4 linked regions of the Oryzias latipes genome follow. The protein of the gene in region 2 interacts with the protein of the main gene of each other region in a pairwise test. Links are inferred from orthologs where the notes say so. Each region holds a gene or a part of one and is shown on either strand. Other genes may lie near its edges. The genes, in order: probable E3 ubiquitin-protein ligase DTX2, abhd16a, rnf5 and retreg3.

Evidence for each region.
Region 1: the proteins of abhd16a (region 2) and probable E3 ubiquitin-protein ligase DTX2 interact in binary tests that used the Homo sapiens proteins (3 or more experiments, as listed by UniProt). The two-hybrid records come from large-scale screens. The link is inferred for Oryzias latipes from reciprocal best matches to the Homo sapiens genes ABHD16A and DTX2.
Region 3: the proteins of abhd16a (region 2) and rnf5 interact in binary tests that used the Homo sapiens proteins (3 or more experiments, as listed by UniProt). The link is inferred for Oryzias latipes from reciprocal best matches to the Homo sapiens genes ABHD16A and RNF5.
Region 4: the proteins of abhd16a (region 2) and retreg3 interact in binary tests that used the Homo sapiens proteins (3 or more experiments, as listed by UniProt). The link is inferred for Oryzias latipes from reciprocal best matches to the Homo sapiens genes ABHD16A and RETREG3.

Annotation. Positions count from the first base shown.
Region 1 is NC_019872.2:28,222,705-28,228,844, reverse strand, and holds the start of probable E3 ubiquitin-protein ligase DTX2, read right to left. Parts: upstream 3,425-6,140; 5' UTR 2,785-3,424; coding exon 2,475-2,784; intron 2,101-2,474; coding exon 1,512-2,100; intron 1-1,511. UniProt on the Homo sapiens protein: Regulator of Notch signaling, a signaling pathway involved in cell-cell communications that regulates a broad spectrum of cell-fate determinations.
Region 2 is NC_019874.2:20,786,902-20,792,269, forward strand, and holds the end of abhd16a (protein ABHD16A), read right to left. Parts: intron 5,141-5,368; coding exon 5,026-5,140; intron 4,934-5,025; coding exon 4,832-4,933; intron 4,724-4,831; coding exon 4,660-4,723; intron 4,575-4,659; coding exon 4,525-4,574; intron 4,117-4,524; coding exon 3,993-4,116; intron 3,915-3,992; coding exon 3,810-3,914; intron 3,730-3,809; coding exon 3,666-3,729; intron 3,590-3,665; coding exon 3,533-3,589; intron 2,659-3,532; coding exon 2,596-2,658; intron 2,485-2,595; coding exon 2,408-2,484; intron 2,287-2,407; coding exon 2,188-2,286; intron 2,112-2,187; coding exon 2,065-2,111; intron 1,499-2,064; coding exon 1,415-1,498; 3' UTR 1,124-1,414; downstream 1-1,123. Other genes in the region: vars (valine--tRNA ligase), read left to right, coding at 1-17, 130-305, 561-710, 800-868. UniProt on the Homo sapiens protein: Phosphatidylserine (PS) lipase that mediates the hydrolysis of phosphatidylserine to generate lysophosphatidylserine (LPS). LPS constitutes a class of signaling lipids that regulates immunological and neurological processes.
Region 3 is NC_019869.2:5,391,983-5,397,938, reverse strand, and holds the start of rnf5 (E3 ubiquitin-protein ligase RNF5), read right to left. Parts: upstream 4,152-5,956; 5' UTR 3,997-4,151; coding exon 3,815-3,996; intron 803-3,814; coding exon 784-802; intron 127-783; coding exon 14-126; intron 1-13. Other genes in the region: rRNA-processing protein UTP23 homolog, read left to right, coding at 5,360-5,547, 5,645-5,819. UniProt on the Homo sapiens protein: Membrane-bound E3 ubiquitin-protein ligase that mediates ubiquitination of target proteins. May function together with E2 ubiquitin-conjugating enzymes UBE2D1/UBCH5A and UBE2D2/UBC4.
Region 4 is NC_019866.2:6,742,552-6,748,749, forward strand, and holds the start of retreg3 (reticulophagy regulator 3), read left to right. Parts: upstream 1-2,267; 5' UTR 2,268-2,349; exon of another isoform or gene 2,350-2,587; 5' UTR 2,588-2,618; coding exon 2,619-2,866; intron 2,867-3,910; coding exon 3,911-4,017; intron 4,018-4,236; coding exon 4,237-4,267; intron 4,268-4,342; coding exon 4,343-4,469; intron 4,470-4,618; coding exon 4,619-4,703; intron 4,704-5,113; coding exon 5,114-5,251; intron 5,252-5,505; coding exon 5,506-5,585; intron 5,586-6,025; coding exon 6,026-6,158; intron 6,159-6,198. Other genes in the region: tubg1 (tubulin gamma-1 chain), read right to left, coding at 856-968, 1,297-1,345. UniProt on the Homo sapiens protein: Endoplasmic reticulum (ER)-anchored autophagy regulator which exists in an inactive state under basal conditions but is activated following cellular stress.

The sequences.
Region 1 (6,140 bases), on a different chromosome or scaffold from region 2:
AAGGGGAACATTAGGACAAGCAACAACTGTGGAAGTCTGGAGAAGAAGCCCATCCAGCAGAACTCAGGAGGGTCTGGATCTTCAGCCCGGCTGAGGACAGGAACCGCTTTGAAGAGGAAGGAAGGTCAGACGATGCACTCAGGAGTGACAGGAAGTGAGCCTGAGAAAACACTTTGCTGCCCTGCAGGGCGGCTCAGCGATGAGGCAGGAAGAGAAGCGGGTGGGAAATGGAAGAACCCCAGCAGAGCAAATCCTCGCTGCCACCAAAAGCAGGGCGGCTTTCAACGCCGACAAAAGCTGTATTTACAGAATTGATGCATCACATCCATGAAGGCATTTTCCTCTCACTGTTGGTGGCAAAACAAAGGCTGTGTCTGAATTCCAGCCCTAACCCCTATAGAGTGCACTACATAGTGATTTTCTAGTGCTGTCAAAATGGAGTGCCCTTGAAATTTCCCAGAAGTGTCTGCAAAAAAACGGCACATATAGACCACAATGCATTGCGTCGAAACAATTTTTGGCAAAAAAAAAAAAATGCATTAAAATGTATTTTTTTAATAAATCATTAATGTTTTTATCTTCAGAAGACAGTAGACTCATAAATACTCGTCCAAAAACGCTCATATCAGTTCGATTTTAACTTTGTGAAATCGATGACGTCATATCCGCCGTCTAAAAAATACAAGTAGTGAGCGTGGCGTCCGAATCGCTTTAACATTCAGGGCGCTACACAGTGCTGCACTATGTAGTTTGGGGTTAGGGTGGGAATTCAGACACAACCAAGGATTTTATTCTCATTTTATTTGATTTCACAGAACTACCTTAAAATAAAAAAAAGATAAAATAAAGATAAAAATAATGCATAATCAATTATCGAAGATGGTTAAAATGAGTGATTTCTAATTACATTACTTCACTTGCTCCAAAAATGGATTCATGGTTTTTCTTAATGAAACTTAATTTTGCACATATTTTTAACTTTTGAACTTTGATCAATTTTTGATATTGAAGATTTTTGAAACAGTGTTATGTCTATTTTACTGATATAGTATTATTTTTTAATCATATACATCATTGTTCTAATGAATATAATCAGCTTATATTTTAGATAATTGATCTGCATTTGCTATTTCTAAAATAGAGTTATGTCTATTTTTACATAATAATTAAGAAATTCATCTTTATCATGAGATTTATTGACACCAAAAGATTCTTAATTCTGTCTGATAAAAGTTCTGAACCGGATAAAGATAAAACATGTAATAAAATATGCTGATTGTATTGTTTTTGTGTATTTTTCTTCCTTGATTGCTTGAAATAAACCATTTCAAATCAAAAATCAAATCAAATCAAAATGTAAGAGTTCCTATTTTATCCATGTCTGTCCCACATTTGTTCAGGTAAAACCATTTGACCCCACAAAGTGACTTCAGATCCGTGTTGGCGACTGGAACGGGACCGGCAGCGTTTTAGCAGATACCAGAAACCCCGGACAGAGAGGCGGAACCCACCTGAGCCCGTTGGCGCTGGCGGAGCCGCTCAGGTGCGACGCCGAGATCTGACTGGCAGAGGGAGGGGGGAGCCAGGGGCTGCCCCAGGATATCCCCCCAACAGAGTGGGGCCTCCGGGGATACGGCGAGTAGACGGAAGTGGGGTGGGTCGCGGCTGCCCTTCCTGGTCCCTGCAGGCCGGGTCGGTTCAGACTCCCCGAAGAAAAGGAATGTCGGGAGCGGCTGGGCATGGGCCCCGTGCTGCTGTGGCTCAAACACTGCTGGCAGGAGCAGGCCGGCCCCAAGGGGACAGCCGGGGGCCCCGGGGACGCCAGCGGGAACGGGGAGTTGCCCAGTCTACGAACCTGCCGTCTGAAACCCGTTGATTTGTTGACCTGGGCGAAAGACGTGAGGTCCACAATGTAGTTGTATCCGTGAGGGCCCAGGTCGGCGGTCCCCTGGCGGGCCTGGTAACTGTGCTCCAGAAGGATGGAAGTTCTGGTCTCGTACGGAGTCCAGCCCCCTTCATCGTTGGCCCATTCCCAGTAAACGCCACTGCCGAGGCCCGAAGACTGGGGGAACAGAGACCGGCGCACGGAGCGCGTGGTTCCTGCACAAAAACCCGCAAATGAGTTTACCTTCAGCAAGACAGTACTCTTTGTAAGAGTACTACAAAAGGTACTTGGTCTATACTAAAAGTGATGCACTTGAAGTTCACTTCCATACTGTCTATTCCTGGACTCAAAATGTTCCAAGAAATACTCAGTTACTTCACTAAATCTACATAGTCTCTAGTATTCTAGCTATACGTGTACTCAAGTATACTTAATAAAATAAACTTAAAGTGTACTGCTGCTTTCTAGACCAGCTGACTGAACCAACATCATCTTCTCAGAAATGCAGTTTAAAAAGACAAAATGAACGACGGAAACCAGAATCTCTGATCTGAATCCGGACTTCAGGTGTGGTGCTGAAGCGGTTTACCTGTATCCTGTCGAAACTGCTTCAGGCTCGGTATGTCGATGAGGTAGGGGGACAGACTGGGATCTGATTGTCCGAGGCAGACGCTGGTGGAGCTGGGTCCGGCTCCCCGGTGGCCCCGCGGGGACAGGGACCGCTCGATGTGGGAGCAGACCTGGCCGCTGTACGGCCGCCAGAAGCCCTGGTCGTCCTGCCATTCCCACACCGCTATCATTGGCTGAGACTGTCCGACTGACGGGGACGGCGCGGCGGACACCGACGGCCCGTTTCTGGAGCTGCTCACCCGGGAACACGATCCAGACACAATCGCCATATTCACCGACCGAGGTACTAGCTAAGCTAACGGCGGCTCGTTCTAGCTAGCCGATCGGGGCTACGACAAAGCCAAAGTCCGCGGGGCTAGCTTGGCTCACTAAAGAGCTTCATTATGAACGTGGGAGCATGAAGAGGCCTGCAGGTAAAACACTACGCGCTCTCCGTGAACACCAAGGTGCATGTTGACATTTCTATCAGGGGAAACGCTAGCTTTACAACTGCGTTGCTAAGGTTCCTCCTCTGCTCCACCAGCTGCCTTCACGCGCCCTCTGAATTTTTGCATTCAAACCGATGACAGGTTGGCTCAACTCAGATTCGTAAAACAGAATTTTAATCTGTAAAAACATGCAAGCACAAAACAAACATAAATATCTACTTGCTAGTGTTGCTGGTTTAAATGACTTTAAATTGCTTACATTTAAACCCCACTATACAAAAAGCGTCCTTCATTACCTCTTTTTTTTTCAAAGTCTGTGGTGAGTCGGGGACAGATGGGAGAATGTACATTTCTTGAGTAGATCTGTGTGTTTTTTAATTCTAAAGCCAAACACTTCAAAGACCAGAGTACGCGGCTTTATTAACCAAAGAACAAATAACCTTTCAAGAAGAACACATTACCGTTCAAAATTACGTTTACAAAGTCTCCCTGAACTTCACACTCTTCTTCTTTTAAAACAACAACCTCTTCCTCTTTTTGGAATCTTCAAAAACTCTGCTGCCCCCTAACGGAGACAAAACGGTACGACAAAATACTCAGAAGAGGAAAGGTTGAGCAAAAGAAAACTACGACTGTTGGATCAAAGGGAACTGTAAAAAAATAAAAGATGTGTTCAATTTGCCACAAGAATTACATTAAAAAAAATTGTCAGAATGTCACAATTTTCCGAACTGGTTAAAACCAAGTCCTCATGATCTTAGTATTTACATTTGTACAATGGTACTCCAAACATAAAATATTACAGTTTTATTATTAAACTTCAAAACTTAGTTCCACATAGACAATAGAAATTATATTAGAGACTCTATAATATTGAATAATACAATCATATTATTTATTATTATTTCAACGTAAGAATATATGTTTAGACAAAAATGTTTGAAATCCCTTAAAGCAAATGTTGGGTGAAATTTTTTTTTATTGTTGTTTGAAATAGCACAAAATCATAAAAAGAACACTTTTGTTTTTTGGACACTGGGAAAAAGAAAAGATTTTAAAATAAAAGAAAACTAAGTAATTGTTTACCCCCGGAAATTTTATGAAAAAACACTTTGTTTTTTCTTTAAGGTGAGTATGAAGCAGAAGCATCGGTTTGCATCAATAGTGCGTCAAAGGCTTAAATGAAACCCCGGTGTCTCCTGTTTGCTCGGATCATCTCTGAGATGCGTGGGCTTCACTGACGTCCACCCGCGGTTCTGGAGTCGGTTGGGTTTGAGAGGACACCTACCTGTCTGCATGAGAGCTTTCATTCAGCAGAACATGTCAGAAAGGGAATGTCTGTGGACCTCTGAGGCCCAAATAAAGAAAAACGATGCAAAAAAACCCAGGTTCTGGTGCCTTGAAGGTTTAAATGTCAAAAAGGCCCTTTTCATTTAATAAACTGACGCCTCCCTGAGGTTTACTCTATTTGAAACAAGACATAAAACATTTGGAAAAAGTGAATAAGCCCTGAATGCACTGCTGGTAGAAGGATTCATGTTTAGTGTTTCCACCTTTAGAGCCGCCACATGAAAGATGAGGAAACCTTCCTGATCTTTCTGAAATTAACAATTCATGAACTGAAAGTTTTGAAGTTTTGCAGCAGCAGCAAACTTCTCCTTTTGCAAGACTGTACGCTTTTAGGAGATTAAACCCAAACGCTTCATAAAGTTACCTTAATCATAAAGAAAACCAAACTGGGACGAGGCCGTTTCAGTAAAAATATATGTCCTACCATCATTTTTAATTTTCCAAAAAGACACAGTGTCCAGAGAGTTTATTGCCAAATATAAATGACTGTTTTTAATTATCCGTAAATCTGCTTTTTATGGAGCGTTAGCAGAAGCATCTTTGGGATTACAGCTTGTCCACAAACCTCCTCCTTCCTTACTTCCAGTCCAGAAGATTGTGAGGAGCCGATATTGATCCCTTAGGAGACAAAAATAAAAATCAAATCCTCAGAAAAGCTTCAAGTTCTATCAAATCTTCAGTGAAAAATGTAAATCCCTTTGGAAAGTCTTTAGTTTCTCATGTGCTTCAGACATGGATGAAGACGCCGACGGTCAGATTTGAAATGATGGTTGCAGGACGCCGCCTCTGCTGCTGCGTTTCCTCCTTCAGCGACTGCTTCCATCACAGGAAGGAACCAACTTCAGAGATCCTTTTAGAGAAAGACTGTCTCCAACAAGCAGAAGACGTTCCCTCAGTGCCCTACCCGCCAATTATAAGTGCCAATATAGACTCCAACACACATGCATGCACACAAATACACATACAAGGAAGGTGGGGAGAGTAAGAGGGATCCCTGAGTTCTCTGGGAAAAGGGGTTTATTCAAATATATACCTTGTGTGCCCAGTCAAACCTGTCCAACATAAAAGGCCTTCAGCAGTCAGCTGTGTGCTCAGCTGTTGGACAGAACAAGTAAAAAAAACAGAAAGTGTAAAACAATGGTTGGACATCCCTGATTGGATGAAAATGTTTGAGTTTTGAAGAAGAAGGAAAGCAGAAGGAGGTTTTACCTGAACCGTGGGAAGAAGTTGTTGCAGTGGGCGGGGCTAGAAGCTTCAAGAAATCTCTTCTGTTGGAATACATCGCCTCGTACCAAATAACTTCCTGTCAAAAATGTAGACAAACATCATCATCCCGTCAGATCGTTTGTTTTGCTTTTTTTAATTTTTCGTGGTAAACTTTTAATGTGGTTTTATGCTTTGGGTGATTTGCTGATGTGATTTGAACTTCAGGGCCACCGTAGGTGAACCTAAAGGTACGAAGGCACCATTGTATTGTTAGAAAATCTGCCGTGTGAAGTTTAATGCACTAAAACTAAAATTCCTAAAGGTTGTCAAACGGGATTAAAATCCAGCAGACGAAGCCTTTTGTCGTTTGGAGCATGAAGACCCGCTGAAGCTAAATTCTGCTGACACTTGCAGACGTGTTTGAGGCGGCGGCAGAAACGCGAAAGACACGAAGAAAAGGATTCTCAGAGTCTTGGCGATCGGCCCATTTTAGCTTCAGTGCACGTGGGACAGCTCGCTGACCGTAACCCGTCGTCTCCTTTGTTAAAGAGCTGACAGAGCAGCACCTTTCATGCAGGTAACTCCACCTCCCTTCCTGCAGGTGATGCAGCCACATCATGCAATCAAGTTCAGTGCTTTCT
Region 2 (5,368 bases):
GAAGACTAAAGCTGACTGTAAAATTACTCTATTTTTTATTCCTATCATTGTATTTTAAAAGTATTAACTCATTAGTATGAGTTTATTATAGCAGCTGGTGGCTTCATAGGTTTCTCATCTCTTTTCCAGGCTACCTTCAGTGCATAGACTCTGCTACTGTGTCCCTGGTGCAGAAATACAGTCTACAGATCCAGACCTTGTCTTACTCTCAGGCCGTCATCCCCCTGACAGCCAGCGAGCCCGTCCCACAAGGCTGCGCAGTGGCTATCGCTTCTGACAGATGCACCGTCAACCTTATGCTCAAGGTGAGAGTCAGCAGTCTGCCGTATGCTCCCTGGTTGCCCCGCACCCCTATTTAATATCCAGCATATTTCACTTTCCAGTGCTGACTGGCACATTGTAGTTACAATTTCACTTGTGTTTGATTCTTTTACCGAAACAGTTCTAAGCCTGTCTTTCTGCAGCTCTAGCAGAACCTTTCCTGTTTCCTTTTTGGTCTTAACAAATCTAAAATAATATCACAATTTTCACCTCGTGTTTTCGTTTCCTTCTCCCCTCAGGGTCTTATTGATGTGGAAAAGGAAGTGACAAAGCTGCTGACAAAGAAAGGCGACTTGGAGAAACAGCTGGAGAAACTGCAAGAGAAGATGGCAAAGAGTGATTACAAGGAGAAGGTTCCAGTGAAGGTGCAGGAGCAGGATGCTGAGAAGGTGAAAAAAAAGAAATTGGCTTGTATGATGTTTCAAAGTGAGACGCACACATGCCCAGCAAATAATACTTTTGTTTCTTTTCTGCACAGCTACGACAGAGCCAGGCTGAACTTGAGAAAGTCAAAGAAGCCATAGACAATTTTAGGAAAATGATGTAATTTCCACTCCTTATTCCAATGTAAATCAGGATGTATTTTCCGGTTAATGTTACTTTTTAAATTCTCTGTGGAGGAAGTAATTCAGTAAATCACTTCAACAATGATGTGAGGATGTTCTGTCCTTCCTGCTGCTGCCGTTCTAACTCGATCACTCCTATTAGCGCTAAACCTATTTAATTTCAGCTTCATTGAAACACTTACAGTACAGCTTGTCCCTGGATGAGGGTGTGTGAACAAATCTTGAATCGAGACAAATTGTTTACATTTCTTTTAATTGCAGTCATTTATATCAACTTATATTTGCTTTATAAATACAGACAAATGATGGAGTGAGTGAGTGAGTGATGGCTTGTGGATATTTTGAAAAGAAGCGTTAACATAATGACAAAACTGTCTTCGTAAAACGACGTGTGACGTTTTGATAACTTCTTGGGAAATCTGGAACAAAAAACAAAACCCCACAGCTGTACATTCACACTTGTCCAGACACACTTGACTACAGGTCATCCAGCATCTCTTGGTTCCCCTTATGCATCCTTTGTTCAGTTACAGCTTCCACGGTGAGTGGAACTCGGAGGCGGGCAGAGGAGTGCAGTGTGTCGATTCAAAGTTTCGCATGTACTTCCTTGCCTGGGAGGAGAGAAAGCACAGCAGGGATGGAGGAGGAATGGAGAATTAGATGTGTGGGAGGGGAGGCGAACAAAAAGTGCAGAGCTTGATTATATTAGGCTGAGTCTATCTGGCTCAGTGCCTTACAAATCTCTTGCATCTCTAAAGGGTTTACACAGGAGGTAAATAAAGCCTAATTTAGAAGGTATTACCGGAGGAGGAAAAGGCACAGCATTAGTTGTAATTGATGGCACTCCTCTTGTTTGATGTTAAATGACTTCAATAAGCCGAGCACGGTAAAATATATTACACTAGTCAACCTGAAAGCACAGGTGAGCTGGTTGCTATGGCGACCAGAACAGTGTTTTTTTGTGATAATGTCTGAAAAGCTGCAATTTCTTTTTTTTGTAGGGGGAGGTTGGCTTAAATTATAAGAAAAAAAGAAATTAGACTATAGACGAATTAGATGAACAGGTTATATAAAAAACCCGCTCTGAGAAATGAGATAAAGACAAGTGCCCGTCCTATAAGCAGACAGGGATACAGCTGGGACTGAAAGCACTGATAGCAATAAATTACTTCCATACCAAGAAGAGCGCCAGCTGCCGCCTTCCCTCTTGAGTCATGTCCTCACCTGGTGACAGAGGGAGTGTAAACATGGAAGCTTGTGGTGCCATTTGCCTTCGGTAACAGTGAAAGAAGCATCTTACCGACAGTCCATGGAAACAAAACATCTCTGTCTGTCTGATAGGACTGCAGCACAGACACGCACCATCCATCATCCACTTCATATCCGCTGTACACAGATGCTGCAGAGAGAGGGAGCTTGTGTTAGTTTGTAATAACCAGATGTCCCAAATATGAGGTATAGTCATATATATTTCTCATTATGATGGTAATTAGTTCAAATGCACACATGAATCTGATTACCTTCTTCTAACTGATTGGAGGCTCCAAGCCATTGCTTCACAACGCGGATCCCCTCATCCGTCATGATTTTGGGATACCTGAGCAGGATGGACACGTTGCCAGTTTCTCTTTTTTTTTTTTAATACATGATTGGCTCAACAAGTGCAAATCCACAGTGCTTCTGGCAAAACTGAGGTGTAGAGACTGACCTGGACTGAAGCAGCTTAAGCAAAAGGTCATTTCCTCTGTTGGACATGATGTCTTCTGGGCCCCTGGAACAAATGAGGAGGTGATGTGATGGCACGCATTTCTGAGAACATCTTGAAGGCATTCGAAATATTTTATTATATCAGTACATTTTGAAGGCTGCAAGAGAGCATGTATTGTGGTTGGAATATTTTTATACTTAAACCAGGAAGAAATAATTAGAATAACAATAAAACCAACAATCATCCCCTCATTTTATACAAATTTGCAGGATTAATTTACCGTAGTACACAGGGAGGAGCAAAAACACTAGGAACTTAAATTATGTTACATTTCTCTGATTTCTTTGGAGAAAAAAAAGAAATTATGTTCAATAACTCTGCAACAAAGAATTACATCTATTTGCATCCATCATTGGTAAAAATCTCTTATGAGGTCATCATTGTAAATGAGAATTTGTCCTCAACTGATCCTGCTGATAAAATAAAGATTAATAATCTTACCTCCTGAATAAAGGCACATTTAACTCAGATTTTTTTTTTAAAACACATCCAAAATACTATGGAATTAAAAACACTCAAGTTAATTGAAGTTCTTTTTTTGGTAAGTTTTCCTATTTTTAACTTTAGGAAACAAACCTACAGTTTTCAAGCATTGCGCTTTGTGCCTGCATTTCTCCATGGGTTAAATGGCTAAAGTTAAATTCCTTAACTTTTTCTGCAGTAGAAGGATCTCTGAAGGTGAAAAAAATATCTGCAAAATTTCTAGTGAGCCTCAAAAACATCCTATATAATTAAAAAATTTCCCAGTGTTTAATACCACCTCAATTGTGCAGAAATCAACTTTAAAATGCATTCAATAATCAAACGTGTATTTCCTGTAAAAGAAGGAAAGAAGAATGGTTGATGCTGAAAGTATTTTGGGATGTGCTGGAGTTACCCTGTGGTGATGATTTCATCTCTGCTCCTCCTGATGAGCAGCACTGGTCCCTGGTATCTGAAAACAAAAGAGTTTTAGTGCCACTACTGCCAACATTTCTTTTGTAAGATCAGTGGGCGGGCGCTACACTCACTTGAGAAGCTGCTCTGCATTGTTCAGGTTCACATATCGTCTCACTGTATATTGCACTAGAGGCCCTGGCAGAGGAAAGAGAAAAAAAAGCTTGAATTATTGAAATGAAACTGCAGGTTCAGTGCTATAGATCTTTAGCACTCACTCCAACTCTCAGGCATGACTTTAAGAGCCAGCGGCAGGAGGTCGTCAAAGGAGGCGTCCAACACCAGAGACTGAATCTCTGGGTATGACATCACGGCCCACGTGGCTACCAGACAAGTACATAAGCTGGACTGTTAGTGAGAAGAACCACACAAGAAAGTTTTCAAACTAATCAACTGTGTACCTGTGAATCCTCCTATGGACCAGGCATAGATGATGATATCATTTAGCTGGAAGCCCAGCTTGTGTACTGCAAACTGGATAACCACATCCATGGCATTGGCCTCATTCTGGGGAAACGGCACTCCCTGACAGAAAGGGAGAAAATACATACACATGAAAACATTTAGTCTCTAAAGAATCAATCATGACTCTATTTTACACCACAGAAAGCTGATTTTTAATGCATTGTAAGGATTTACAACACTCCCAAATATGGGAGCGCCTTGGGCGAAGGTGCCAGGGTTAAACAGGAAATTCCAACTGCTGTTGTTTCCCACTGAGAGAAGAACAGCCTTCAGACTGAAGTGAAAGAACTTTAGCATCAAGATTACAAGAGAAGAAAATCAAGTGAAGGAATTTCAGAAAATGAAAATCAAGTTAATGCAAGGCTACAGTGGAAGTTATCATGTTAACCATGAAAAATAATAACCCAATTAGCAACATAGCATAAAGAAATACTAAAGTATAACCTCCAATATGACAACTCTGCTCACCGTGCTGTCCCCAAATCCAGGGTGGTTCCAGCCCAGGACGGAGTATCCAGCTGCAGGGGACGACAACAAATACTGAACTACACTTTCAGCTAAGACATTAGAAACGTTTCATAGAACAATGTGCGCTTCCCTTACCATCCAGAGGGGTGTTCATGCAGCCCACCTCATAAAAACCTGCATTCCCCTCACAGCAGATAACCTGTGGCAGATTTCAAAAACGTTTGTTACGTGATCGGACCTTTGCTAGGTCAGGAACAGGCCTAAGGCATAAAAAAAACCCCAACAGCAAATCACTTCAGACATTTACCAGAGTCTTGCCATTGTGACCCCCATCTGTCCTTCGATCCACAAACATGGTGTCGATCTCGTTACCGTCACAAGCGACTAGCTTGTTCCTTTGGCCATCATACTGTGACAGAAAGGAGAAAAGGATGGCCGGCCATTAAGCGTGTTTCAAATGTTTAAATGAAGTCAGGGCGGAAATGTTTTTCTTTGTGGTACCTCTTCGATCAACTTCGCCTGTCCCTGCATCAGCATGGGTTTCATGGCTTTTTGCAGTAAGCCCACAGAGCCGGGGTACAGCATCCGCCTCCCAAACGTGTGCGCAACCAGATAACTGCCAACAACAACAGATCTGTGTCCTTCTACATGACCTATATGAAATCATTGGCTATTGACATGGGACAACACCACAAAACCTATTTCAAGTAAATAACGAGGTAGATTTTTCTGGAAACTCTTCTCTTCTGCAGTGGTGTAGGAAAAAACTTCTACTACAATGTAAAAACCAGAGTACTGGATGCTATAGATCTGCAATGATCCTGTTCTTACTTTACTTTTTTTT
Region 3 (5,956 bases), on a different chromosome or scaffold from region 2:
ACAGGCGGCGAACCTGGGGTCCTCCTGGCTGGAGCTTCCCCGTCCGTACAGCGGGATGACCTTCTCTCTGCTGATGCCCGCCTTGCACACCGGACACTGCTGCCTGCTGGGCTGCGTCTCCAACCACTGAGAAGGACAAGACGGATCTGACGCCGCTTCCACCAACGAGACAAAATGTTTGTTCCTGCAGGAACGGACTGAAGACCAACGGCTGCGCTCATGTCGCATCAGCAAACCGAGACCCGTTAAGGTCATTAGTGTCACACGGTGCAGCTTTAACGCCGACGTCACGTCAGGAGCGCCGCTTAAGCCCATTACCTCCACTTTCTCTGTGGAGACGCCGAACTGTTTACAACAAACACCTTCAGCCTAAATACAAACATCGGCACAAAACTCTACTGCCATTAGAACGCAATCTGGACTCGGTGGTTCACATGGTAACACTGATCTACAAACGCTTTAAATATCTGGAAGCCTTTTTTATTTTAAGTTGAAATAAAATGTCCTGCCGTTTACGTTGGCCCACAAAAGATGCAGAAAAACCTTCGGCCTTTTATCATTAAAGACAAAAAATGAAACCTTTTCACTGAAATCGATTAAAATGTCATTAAACATGACCAAGTACATCAGACCCAAAAGAAGAAGCTGCCTTGAGCCTAAGTTTTTCTGTAGAAATGTGTCTGAATCTTTCAAAAAAACTCCAAAAATATAAGGATCCAGTTTTATTTCTCTTCAAAGATCGAGTCAGAAGCTGTTTGGGAAAAGAACAGAGGATGGACTCACCTGATGTAGACAGGGCCAGCTGCAAACAGGAGAAAAGACAACAAATTATTCCCTTCTAAAAGCAATTTTGCTGCGATTCAGAGATTTGAAAGGAGGCTATTAGTTTAGACAGACATTTCAAACAATAAATCCGTCAGAAATGATTCGATCTTAACTCAAAACATTTGAAACAATTTTAAAAATGGAATCAGATCCCTGTAATCTGCATGACTTCCAAGCCTGCTCCAATGAGAAGCTGTGGACTGCTCCATGCAGCCCCGGCGGCCCTCAGGCGTTTTCTGGGAGCCGCCCGGCTCCAGGAGAAGCCTCGTGACTTTGACAGGAAACATGAAGCTTTTTCCAAAATGCAATGGTTACGATCCTTTCACATTAAAAAGTCTCATTTCAGGAACTCGTTTGAGTCTTTTTGCTCCCCAGAACTGGCCTTGATTCCAAGAATTTAGTGTGTGATGAGAAGAAAACTGAAATGAACCTCCATTTCTAACAGATTTTTGCTTTTTTTTTAAGGCAGAGATATCATTAAACCACCGTAAATCTACACATTTTAGAAATGCTTTGAGATTTAGTCATGAAGGAACTTGGAGCATGCAAACCAACAAGAAGGGCGGGACTTTCAGAACCACAGCAGCACTCCGGCGCAGTAATCTGCACTGCTTGGGTTTAAAAAACGGGGATCGGCGTCCCCGCAGTCAATTTAGGATCAAGGATCAACACAGAGCAAATCCTGAGTTTCAATACCAACTTTAACCTGCAACAAGTGATAAAAACCTGATTTATTTGAACTGAGAAGCCGCAGGACTTTGTGCCTTCAAAATAAAAGCTGCTTATCTCATCATTTTGTGTTTTTCAGATTACCTTTGCAATGAAGTCAGACGCATTTTTTTTGGCTCCAAACACCAGTTTATGAAATCATCTCAGAGATGGCTTGAAAAACTAATCTAAGCAGAATATTACTTTACAATAAAATACACCACATTTCAGTGAGAGTTTGTGGAAAATCCGACACTGCATAGCTAAAAGTCAAAGATGATGATGAATCCTATTCCACAAGCAGCTTGATGAGATGTTGCAGCAGGTGAGCTGATGTCATCAACTGACCTCCTTGCTTCAAAGTTTCATCATGTTACGTACAGATTTGGGGGGGGGGGGGGGGGGGGGGTAACATAGCAACGACGTTACATCAGCGCACGCCGCCGTGGGAGCTGCAAACACAGACACGCACCAGCTGGTCCACCAGAACTTGATCCGGTACTGGACCGGGATTTAACCCCCAGAGAGCTCCGGAGCGGTTTTTCCTCTGGGGGTTTTAAGTTAATTAGACTTTATTTGTTCTTCTTTTTGTTTATATTAAGTAGCAGCAATCAACGGCTGGTTAAGCTACAACAGAAATCCTTCCTCTGTCTGAGAAAAAAAACGGCGTGTTTGTACCGATTCATTCAACTGGACAGATTTTCTCTAAAACACACCAATACTTGTTTTTATATTTACAAACTTCTAAAAAAAGAGTGACACTATATTAAAAGACATATAATGGATACAATAAATGCAAATATATGTGTGGATTTATTTTTTTAAATGTCTCAAAGTTTCCTGAATGTCTAACATTTTCTCTGTTTTACCAACTTTTTCTATTTCTGTTCAGCAGCTTAAAGACAAAACTGGCTTCATCGCCTCCTTCTGACAATCATAGCCATATCAAATATACATTTTCCAGCTTTTCAAACAGAGTACAGGAAGCGCAGAAAGAGAAATGAGAAGCGGTTTTAATAACGATCGGCTGTGACATCACAAAAGCCAGCAAAGAAAATGAAAGGAAATATAACCAACAGTAATCAGAGTCGCTCTACAACCTGATCTATTGATGAATAGTTCCCTTTTAATTATGATGGTGCTGTTATGCCACTTCCCATCATGCATCTGTCTACACGCTGTCCTGCTGGCTTACAGCCCCTCACACAACCCCAACTTAATCTGTGAGCTTATGGCCCGCCCAGTTTATTTTCTGTCACAAATACGATCTTTTTCAAACTGAATTTTTTAAAATTCTGCTCCTGATTCACAATGATTTGAATAACAAAATACTCAGAAAATGTTTAATTTTCTCTATAATTGTCCTCTTTCATCGGAAAAATGCCACAAGAACATGTTAAACATTTTTAATAAATCACTTTCATGATTTGTTTTTATTCTATTGCAAACCCCCCCCAAATGAGCAAGAACTGTTGAAGGAAAATGTACATTTGCATTTTTTTACAGCTTCTTCAATACATTCCAAAGATTATATTTTCCTGCACTTAGATTTTAGTCCTTCTTGATCAATTCTTTTCTGGATTTTGCACAATAAACAATCTCTGATGTGTTAACCGCCTTAAACCACCAAAGTCCAAGCCTGTGCTTGTTTCCACACTGAACCCTTCGCTGCTTTCGATTACAGCTGATAGGAACCTGCTGACCCTGATGTCACATCAGCGACTCCCAGATTAGTCACACAAAAACCACTGAGTTTGTGTGAACCGACAACATGAAGGTTGAAGGTTGCGCAAGTTTGGATCACAAGGGGGAGAAAATGCTAGAAAGTCTTTGGCCGCAGGTTCCTTTCAGATGTGGTGAGCTGCCAGTTCAGATTAAAGTGGATTTAAACAGAATAGCTGATTAAATCACAGCAACAAGCTGAAGCAAGTTTGGCTCATCACAGACTGATGTTAAAGTTAGAAATGGTCACTAAGCATTTACAATAAGAGTTAATATGTCACAGATTAATACGTCACCTTTGACTGACAGCTGATAAAAATGCTGTAAAAAATGTTTAGGTGTAATGCAGTAAAACAGTTATGACCTGCCTCTGTAAAATATTAGTTTGTACTTTATTCTTATTTTTAATATTATTATTATTGTGGTTTTCAGCGAGGGGCGTGACTCCGCCGTCAACAGCTGACGTTAAAGAAGGCCGCGCGCGCGCGGGCAAATAACATCAAAAGATCATGGAAAAACACCCCCACACACTCTAATAACTACTGTTTTGGTTTCGTACCAGAACAGGTGTCCGCACATACTGATGACAGCGTCCCTGGCTGTGTCCAAACAAATATTGCATTCGAAGGTGGCCCGGTCCCGCTCGCTTTCCCCGCTGCCGCCGCCTGGCCCGTCGCGGTCGTTGCTGCTTTCCCCCGCGGGGAAACCTCCTCTGGAGTAGCGGGGATCCGCCGCCGCCATGACGGTTATCGGAACAGCGAAGGGAAGTAATCCGAACTGAGTCAACCCAAGCCACTCGTGCCCGACTGGTACTAGCGTTAGCCGAGTCCGACACTGATGGTACAGTCTTCACTTTGGACTGAGTTGTGGCTGCTGCTGCTGTCTGAGAAACCACTTCCGTTTCCGGTCAAAATAATGCTGTAAGAGTCGGGGGGCGGGGCTAAAAATGTAAATACAAACGCCTCATGGAGACTGTACAATGATTATCGTGGTTATTTACTTTTTAAGTGTATTTTCAATGTTTATCATCTATCTGCGGGTTTCAATTGCACTATGGTATCAAAATAAATTACTTTTTACCGGATCAATAAAGTTCTATTCTCTTCTATTCTATGAAGCAAGGCCAATGTTTAAGGTTACATCCGGTAGTGTTTTATTTTAAATAACCCTTATTCATAAATTCAAGAAAGGCAAAACAAAACAAATATTGTGATGTGTCAAACTTATACACACATAAACACGCGCGCACACACACACACACACACACACACACACACACTCATACACACACAAATACCTGACAACAACAGTAATAACTAATGGCACACTGAGAAGATTTTAAATAAACAGCAAAGAGTCTTGTTTTTTTTTCTATATTAAGTTTAATTAAACCTTGTTAACCTCTTGACTGATAATGTTCACTGTCAGTGGTGCAAGTTGCATAGTATTTAAAGTGTTTTCTTTTACTTATTGTCTTGTGTCTTGTTTTAATAAAATGTTTAAAAAACAAACGGAAATGACAACAATGATAATTATCATAAAATGATGTGTTCTTTTGAATCAATTTAATACAAACAATAGGGCAGTCAGTAATCAGGATGTAAATAACAAACAAAGACAAACAATTGTTTCTAAAAAATTTCAAAAAACTAACATTTCAAAATTCTGTTATTCAAGTTAAATTATAACTATATATCCCAACCGTTTTTTTCCTTCTTCAATACATTAAATGTATAACTGCATTTACTGTATTAAATTAACCGGGATAGGCATTTTTTTAAACTGACAGAACCCGTTAAATCTGAAAACCAAACATTAAAAAGATTTAAAGATTAAAAGAAAGAAAAACAGTGTCTTTTATTTAAAACATTATTTTTTTAATTGACTCATTTATGAACATCCCCGTTTCAAAACCGGAACTTTAAGCAGACATCTTTGTTTCGTTCCGGAGCTATTAGGCCTACGCACAAAACCGTTTGAGTACAGCTCCACGCTGATTTAGGATCTTATTTTGACCCTTTTTGACTGCAGAAAGAAGACATTAATTTAAGTTTAAAGCTTTGTTTTTGCTTTCGCTAATTTCTTTTTTTATTCAAGGCGGAACATGAAGATCAAACGACAGAAACAAGCCAAGAAAACGATTAGCTTCTACAAATACAACTTCAGCTTCAGGGAACCTTTTCAGATCCTCATTGACGGGACTTTTTGTCAGGCGGCGTTGAAGAATAAAATTCAGATTAAAGAGCAAATGCCGAAATATCTAATGGGTGAGGTGCAGCTGTGCACCACAAAGTACGTACATAACCGAATGGTATTCTCTGTTGTTGTGTTCAGAGTCTTTGGTTGTTGTTGTTTTTTTTAAATCCGTTTTATTCGTTTTCACACACAGTTGCGCTCTGAAAGAACTCGATACTCTCGGAAAACAGCTTTATGGAGCCAAAATTATTCTGCAGAGGTTCCAGCTGAGGAAATGTGCTCACTTCAAGGACCCGGTTCCTGCGTCAGAGTGCCTGCTGTCCATGCTGGAGGACACAAACCCGCACCATTACTTTGTTGCCACGCAGGTACATTTAAATGGACGAAGAGCTCACTTATTAATAAGCAGAACCGCATAGATTTTCAGTTTAGTGAAGAAAATCTGAACACAAGGTGCTGCATATAACTGTCAGGATCAGAAAACTTTCTGCTCTTTAACATTTAA
Region 4 (6,198 bases), on a different chromosome or scaffold from region 2:
TGGTCTCTTAAAAGAGAGACCTTAGAGAATGTCTCTCTTTCTCACTCAAATCTCAAATAAGAGTGCCCTCTAGTGGCTAAATGTGTTGTTATTGAAACAGAAACTTGTCTGCTTACCAACCATTCAAAAGTTAATTATTAATCAACTTGTACAACAATCATTAAAAATATGCAGATTATTTAATACATTTTAACTAGTTCCAACCATAAAATACGATTCAAAATTTGTTTCACTTCACTGCTAAGAAATGAATCAAACATTCATGATAACTGTTTGATCTTGACAATGAAATTGTTGACATTGGTTTTAGTTTGTTTAATTTCAGTTTTTTTTCTTCTGTGTAAAAAAAACTAATATGAAAGTTGCATAAAATGTTTTTTTTACTTTATTAAAGCTGTATAACATTACAGAAATTTATATTAGCAGGTTAGCTTCTTTTTTTTTTTTGGGGGGGGGGGGTATTTCAATTCAATTTCAATTTTATTTGCATAGCCCAAATTCCCAACAACAGTCATCTCGATGGACTTTGTATCGGTAATTGAAAAGTAAAACTTAGAATCAAATTTAAAAGGATCATGAATACATAGAATTCAATAGTGGAAAATACTAAACTAAACTGGCATCCCTGCCCTTAGACCCTCCTTCGGTTATCCAAAGATCTATTGACAGAAGACATATATGATATACTGACAGATCAGTATTTCCGCTCAAGGGTAAATGAATAAAAGTACGTTTTTATTTTTTGGTAGAGTGCACCTAAACCTGTTGTGATCTCAGTCCTGTGGTTAATCTTGCCTTTTGTTGTAATTATTTGTTTCGGGTAGGACCCGTGCTCTTGACTTGGTGAACGTTCACCTGATAGAAGAAGACATCCTTTCTGTCGGTTCCTTCAGTTGCAAACTCCTCCACGATTCCCTCAGGACTGATCCCATGCTCAGCACACAGCTGCTTCCAGAACTCGAACCCGACTGCAAAACGAAAACGGAGAATTAGTATTAGATTACATTCGTTTTTGACTAAACAGTTTCTAGTTTGAGAACACGCAGCTGTTCTGTGAATGACAGCTACTGTTACCTATACTATACTGTTTCTGGACACCATGTTAGCCGTTAGCTAGCCGGAATAGCATCATCACTGCGGTTATTTCCCACCAAAGAGATGTTCAGCTGAAAGGTCCAAGAACCATTTAAGAAGATTTAACCTAACTGTCTAGGTCGAATGGTGGAGAGTCGTCGAACAAAATATAAAGGAAACGGTTCAGAAACTTAACTTAAGGGTATGAAAAAAATGACCTACTTTGATTGCCACATTGTCCAAGCTGAAGAGTTATAATTTCCCGCGGCATGGTTAGTTGCTTTTTATTTTGCTAGCCTGTCTGCTAGCGAAATAATGAAAGCTAGCCCCCAGGTTACACCGATTTTCCCCTGACCAGCAGCGACAACAACAACCCGCTCGTTCCCGCTAACTGGCGTGCTGAATTCTTCTACGGATGTTCATGGGACAATGTTCACGCTCGGTGCTGCCCCCTAGTGTGTTGGAGTACAATACATTTTTTTTAAAGATGGTAATCTTCTCTTTCGAATTTGTTCTTTAAAAACAATTTATACCATTTTGGTTATAATCTTTTTGGGGCCATGCATTTTTTCCGGTTTGATTTTTCTCGTCAAATCGATAAGCACGTTATATTTTGTGCCACAAAGTGACCACAAGTTTAATTAATTCAAACAAAGTTTAGTAAACCCATATAGGCACTAAGTTTTTTAACAGTATTTTACAATATTTTTTCATTGACATGATATGTGTTTCTTGACCAAGCAAACCTTACTACTACCATCAATAGTAATAATAAATCGTCATAGGTTTTTGGTCCAACAAAACAGCATAGACAGATACACAAATTAGTTTCAGTAATCTTTTTTGACATGCATAAACATACATAAGTATAAAGAGGCTTATTTTACAAGGATTGAGGAAAAAAAATATGTCATATAAGAAGAGATTAAAAACAAACCCAATGAATCGTTTATTCCAGAGTTTTAATGAATTGTAGAAAGTCCCATATACATTTGTAGCAAGTCTGCTCTGCTTATCATAAAAGTAATTAAAAAAAGACAAGTATAAATGATTGTAATAAGAAAAAATATATATATATTTTTTTAAATAAATGAGCTTTACAGTTCATTTAAACATACGAAAATATGCTTGAGGTTTTGCCCCAGCCTGGGAAGTTAGTCTGCACTTTTGTACCTGAACGCACTGTGACGCAACTGCTTTCCTGAAATCTGATTGGATCAATCGACGCTGGGAATAGATACGCCATGTTGACATTTTCCGAAGCGACCACAAAATGTATTTTAGATATATATTTTATAATTAGTGTCAGGTTTCTCTGAAACTTTATTTTTAGACCTTGTATAATGTTGTTTTTAACGCTGTAAGAGAAATGTTGTAACATTAACATCAGTGCGGAGTTGTGGTCGCTCACTGTTAGCACTGATAGCCGTTAGCTTGTGTTCTTCTGTCACCGGCGGAGCCCCTCATCAAGCTGTTTACCGGTTTCCACTCAGCTTAATTCTCTCTTTTACAGACTGACAGTGTTCCACAGCAGACACAGTTTGATGGCGTACTCTGGAGCGATGGAAAGCGCCCCTATGGACGATCGTCCCGCGTCTCAGAGTTCAAGCAATTGCCTTCGAAGTCGACCATTCTCCAGCGAAAGAGACGCCCGAGTTCGGGTCGTGAAAGCAGAACTTCAGTCCAAACTGGGGCCCTACGAGCCCGTTCTGACCTACCTGCAGTCTCTCCTGGTGTGGGAGAGACCACTTCACAGCGCCCTGTTCTTTCTTGCTGTAAACACGGCGTTCTGGTGAGTTTGACAAATAAATACACTTTTTTAGAAATTTGTTTGTGATCATTTTCCTGTAAGATAAACTTTAAAACAGGTGAAAATGACAGCAAAGCAAGTAGATGACAGTAAAAGTGTTGCAATTGTCAGTAAAACATCAAACAGGTGGTTCAATAGCTCCAAAACTTGTTTGATTTGAGATATTAGTCCAGTATTTTTCACAAAGGATGTGTTTTGCAACAGACAGGCTTGAGAACTGTAACCTAGACTCTATTCTGTTGAAATATGGATGTTGTGAATTGCTAACTTAAAAATCAAAAGGTTAAATCCAAGATTTGAGCAGTAGCTTAACATTTTAAATGTCAAATATCAGGGTTAAAGTGTGCAGATCTGGCACAAGTTTGGGGTCTGTTAGTGTTCATTCTTGTTTAATCAGAAATCTCTGGAAAAATCTTGTTTATGAACACGTTTTTGACACATCATTTCTATTATTTTTGTTTTTTATCATGTACTCCATACTAAATATATCTTCGACCACGTTGAAAATGAATCTCTTAAATGATGAGTGTTTGGATTCTACATTGGAATAATAAAAGTAACCATGTTTCTTTAAAAACAAAAAGGGGTTTCCTTCCCAAAAAATATGCTCAAAAAACAACAAAAGGCTAATAGTTGTTGACCAGAAACGTCTTAATGGGATTAATCTGAGGATTGGCAGAATCCTGCAGCATTGTTGTTGCCAACAATTCTGTGAAAACCTGAGATCTGAAATTAGAGCAACAGAGACTCGTGTTTAGATCCCAGGCAGTCTTACTCAGCCAAAAACAAAGAGCAGTTTTTTCTGTTTTGTAGCTTAACAACTAGTTCTTTCAGTGGTTTTGTCGTTGATTCAAAACTTTATTTATGGGAAACCCCTCCTAACCAATGATCACTCCTTTTTTTTTTTTTTTACCATTAATTGAATTGTGCGCTTTTTTTTTCTTCTTTAAATTTGATTTAATTCTTTGCATAGTCTTAAGGAAACAGGCAGCTAAAGCGCTGTTATTTGCATGCTTCCGGTTCCAGGTTTTTTGCCTTTACATCGATGCGTCTGCTGTTCATCCTGGCCTCTTCGCTTGCTGTCCTTGTGTCTTTTGACACCTGGAGGAATAAAATCTGGCCAAGGATTAGAGGTGTGTTTTTCTCTTCAAATTGTGGTTCTTTATATTCAGAATGTCCTTTTTTTATGCTTGTTAAAATCTATGTTTACTAAATGCGCGAGTGGAACATCAATCGGCAAACGATAAAGAAAGAAAATGACCAAACTACAGTTTGGGGAACTTTGGAATCTTTCTAATCCACGTGTCTTCATACCTCTCAGTTGTAACGCTTTGTTTCTTTGCTCTTTACAGTCAGAAAACTGGATGAATCTGAAAATGAAAGGTGTGTTTCTGTTATTTCTTCTGCAGCATTCATTGTTCGCTAAAGTGCTTCAGTCCAACATGTCTGTTTCCGCAGCTGGGCCTTGGTGCAGCCCGGCATCCTAAGTGTACCAGAGCTTTGCCATCACCTGGCAGAGGCCTGGGTCAGCGGATCAGTTCTCATGTGCTTCATGGTTCAATTCAAACAACGAAACCCTGGCAATGTAAGGATTACCGCCCAGCACCATGTATTTAATCCTCTTATTCATGTGAACTGCTTCAGTTGATCCACCTGCATTCCCTCAATGAATATTACATGGGTGACGTGCTGTGCAGGCAGTGACTTCTATCTCTGTGTTCTTCTCTGGAGCAGTTCTGCGTTCTGACCTGCGGGTTGTTCACCTGTTTGGCCGTGGTTGGGTGCTACATTTCTGGATTGGTACTGTCCTACGCTGCATGTGAGTCCGAGCAGTTTTACCGGTCCTAACTACCGGTCACGCCCTGCTGCTACACTGTTGGCAGGAAACTCATTTTATGCCAAATGAAAAATATATGAGTGAAACCAGATCTGTGGGGCCCCGACACAAGGTTTGGCCTACGAAGTGATTAAAACAGGGAGGAGGAAGAGGAGGAGGAGGAGGAGGAGGAGAGGACAGGAATCTAAAGAGGTCAGGCGGACAGCAGGTTAATCTCCTAACCTGGAGCTGGTGTTAGACTGCAGAGGGCGGGCCAGTCCACAGCTGTCCGCCTGTCTGTATTCTCAAACCCAACATGTTTGTAGATCTTCATTGATTTTATAGAAAAAACAAAAGCAAAACACTTAAATATCACCATAAGTGTCATGACTTTCCTCCTCCCTCGTTGGCAGTGTTGGTCATCCTCCTGGCTCCTCTGGCAGCATACCATCGAGTCTTTCAGCATGCGTGCATGAAGTTGGAGCCAGTCCTGCAGCGGCTGGATTTCAGCATCCATGGATACATGATGTCAAAGCCCATCGATAATCAGTGTGAGTTTGACGCACACGTTTGTCTTTCAGATCTACGTTCACTGCATTGAACTGAAGTGACCCCATCTGACTGCTTCATTAAAAGCAGTTGATGCTTTACAATTTATGTTCTCCCTTTTAAAAAAAAAAGCATCTTTAAAGGTTTGTTTTGTTTGGACAAAGCTGGATATGGAAATCTGTTATTGCATTTACCAAAGCCGCCTTTTCTTTCACTGTTTCTAAGTTATCTAACGGCGGTGTACGTCTGTCTTTAGTCCTGCGAAGGTCCGTACGTGGTGCAGCCTCAGGTGAAGCCAGCGACAGCGAGGAAGAGTTAGCCGCTTTCTGCCCAACAGTAAGTCTGTTGGTTTCTATTGTCTGTCAGTGTTTGAGGCTGCTCTTGTGTAGGTTTTAGGCTATGTCAGCCCAAAGGAAAGGGATCCAATAATTTTTTTTTTCTTGACCAAATAAAAAAGACAGAGCTGAACTGCTGTGTACTAACTCTATGAAGAGACTGTTTGCTTTGATGAATGGCATGTGTGCTTTTCTGGACTACCTCATAGGACAGTGCAGGCAAATGGCAGATCTTTGACACCATTTCACAATGGTAGGATTTACACAGGGAAAAATGAGTTCGACAACAAACAGAAACTTGGAACGATCTATTAATCAACAAGTAGCAGCTTGTCTGCAAAGCCTCCTGTGTGCCAACTTTCTTTTTTTTAGGACAAAAAAAAGAAAATAAAAGAACCATAAATCTGTGTTTAGTATTTTAACGGAATCTCTTTGTTTCAGTTCGATGATGACGTTGTTGCTAAGGAGCTTGCTCTGACTGACTCTGAGCACTCGGATGCAGATGTGTCCTACACCGAGAACGGAACATTTAATCTTTCGCGTGGTCAGACCCCGCTCACTGAGGGTTCTGAGGGTAAGTTTGACAGAACAGTAGATTTACTTCTCCCCTTTTC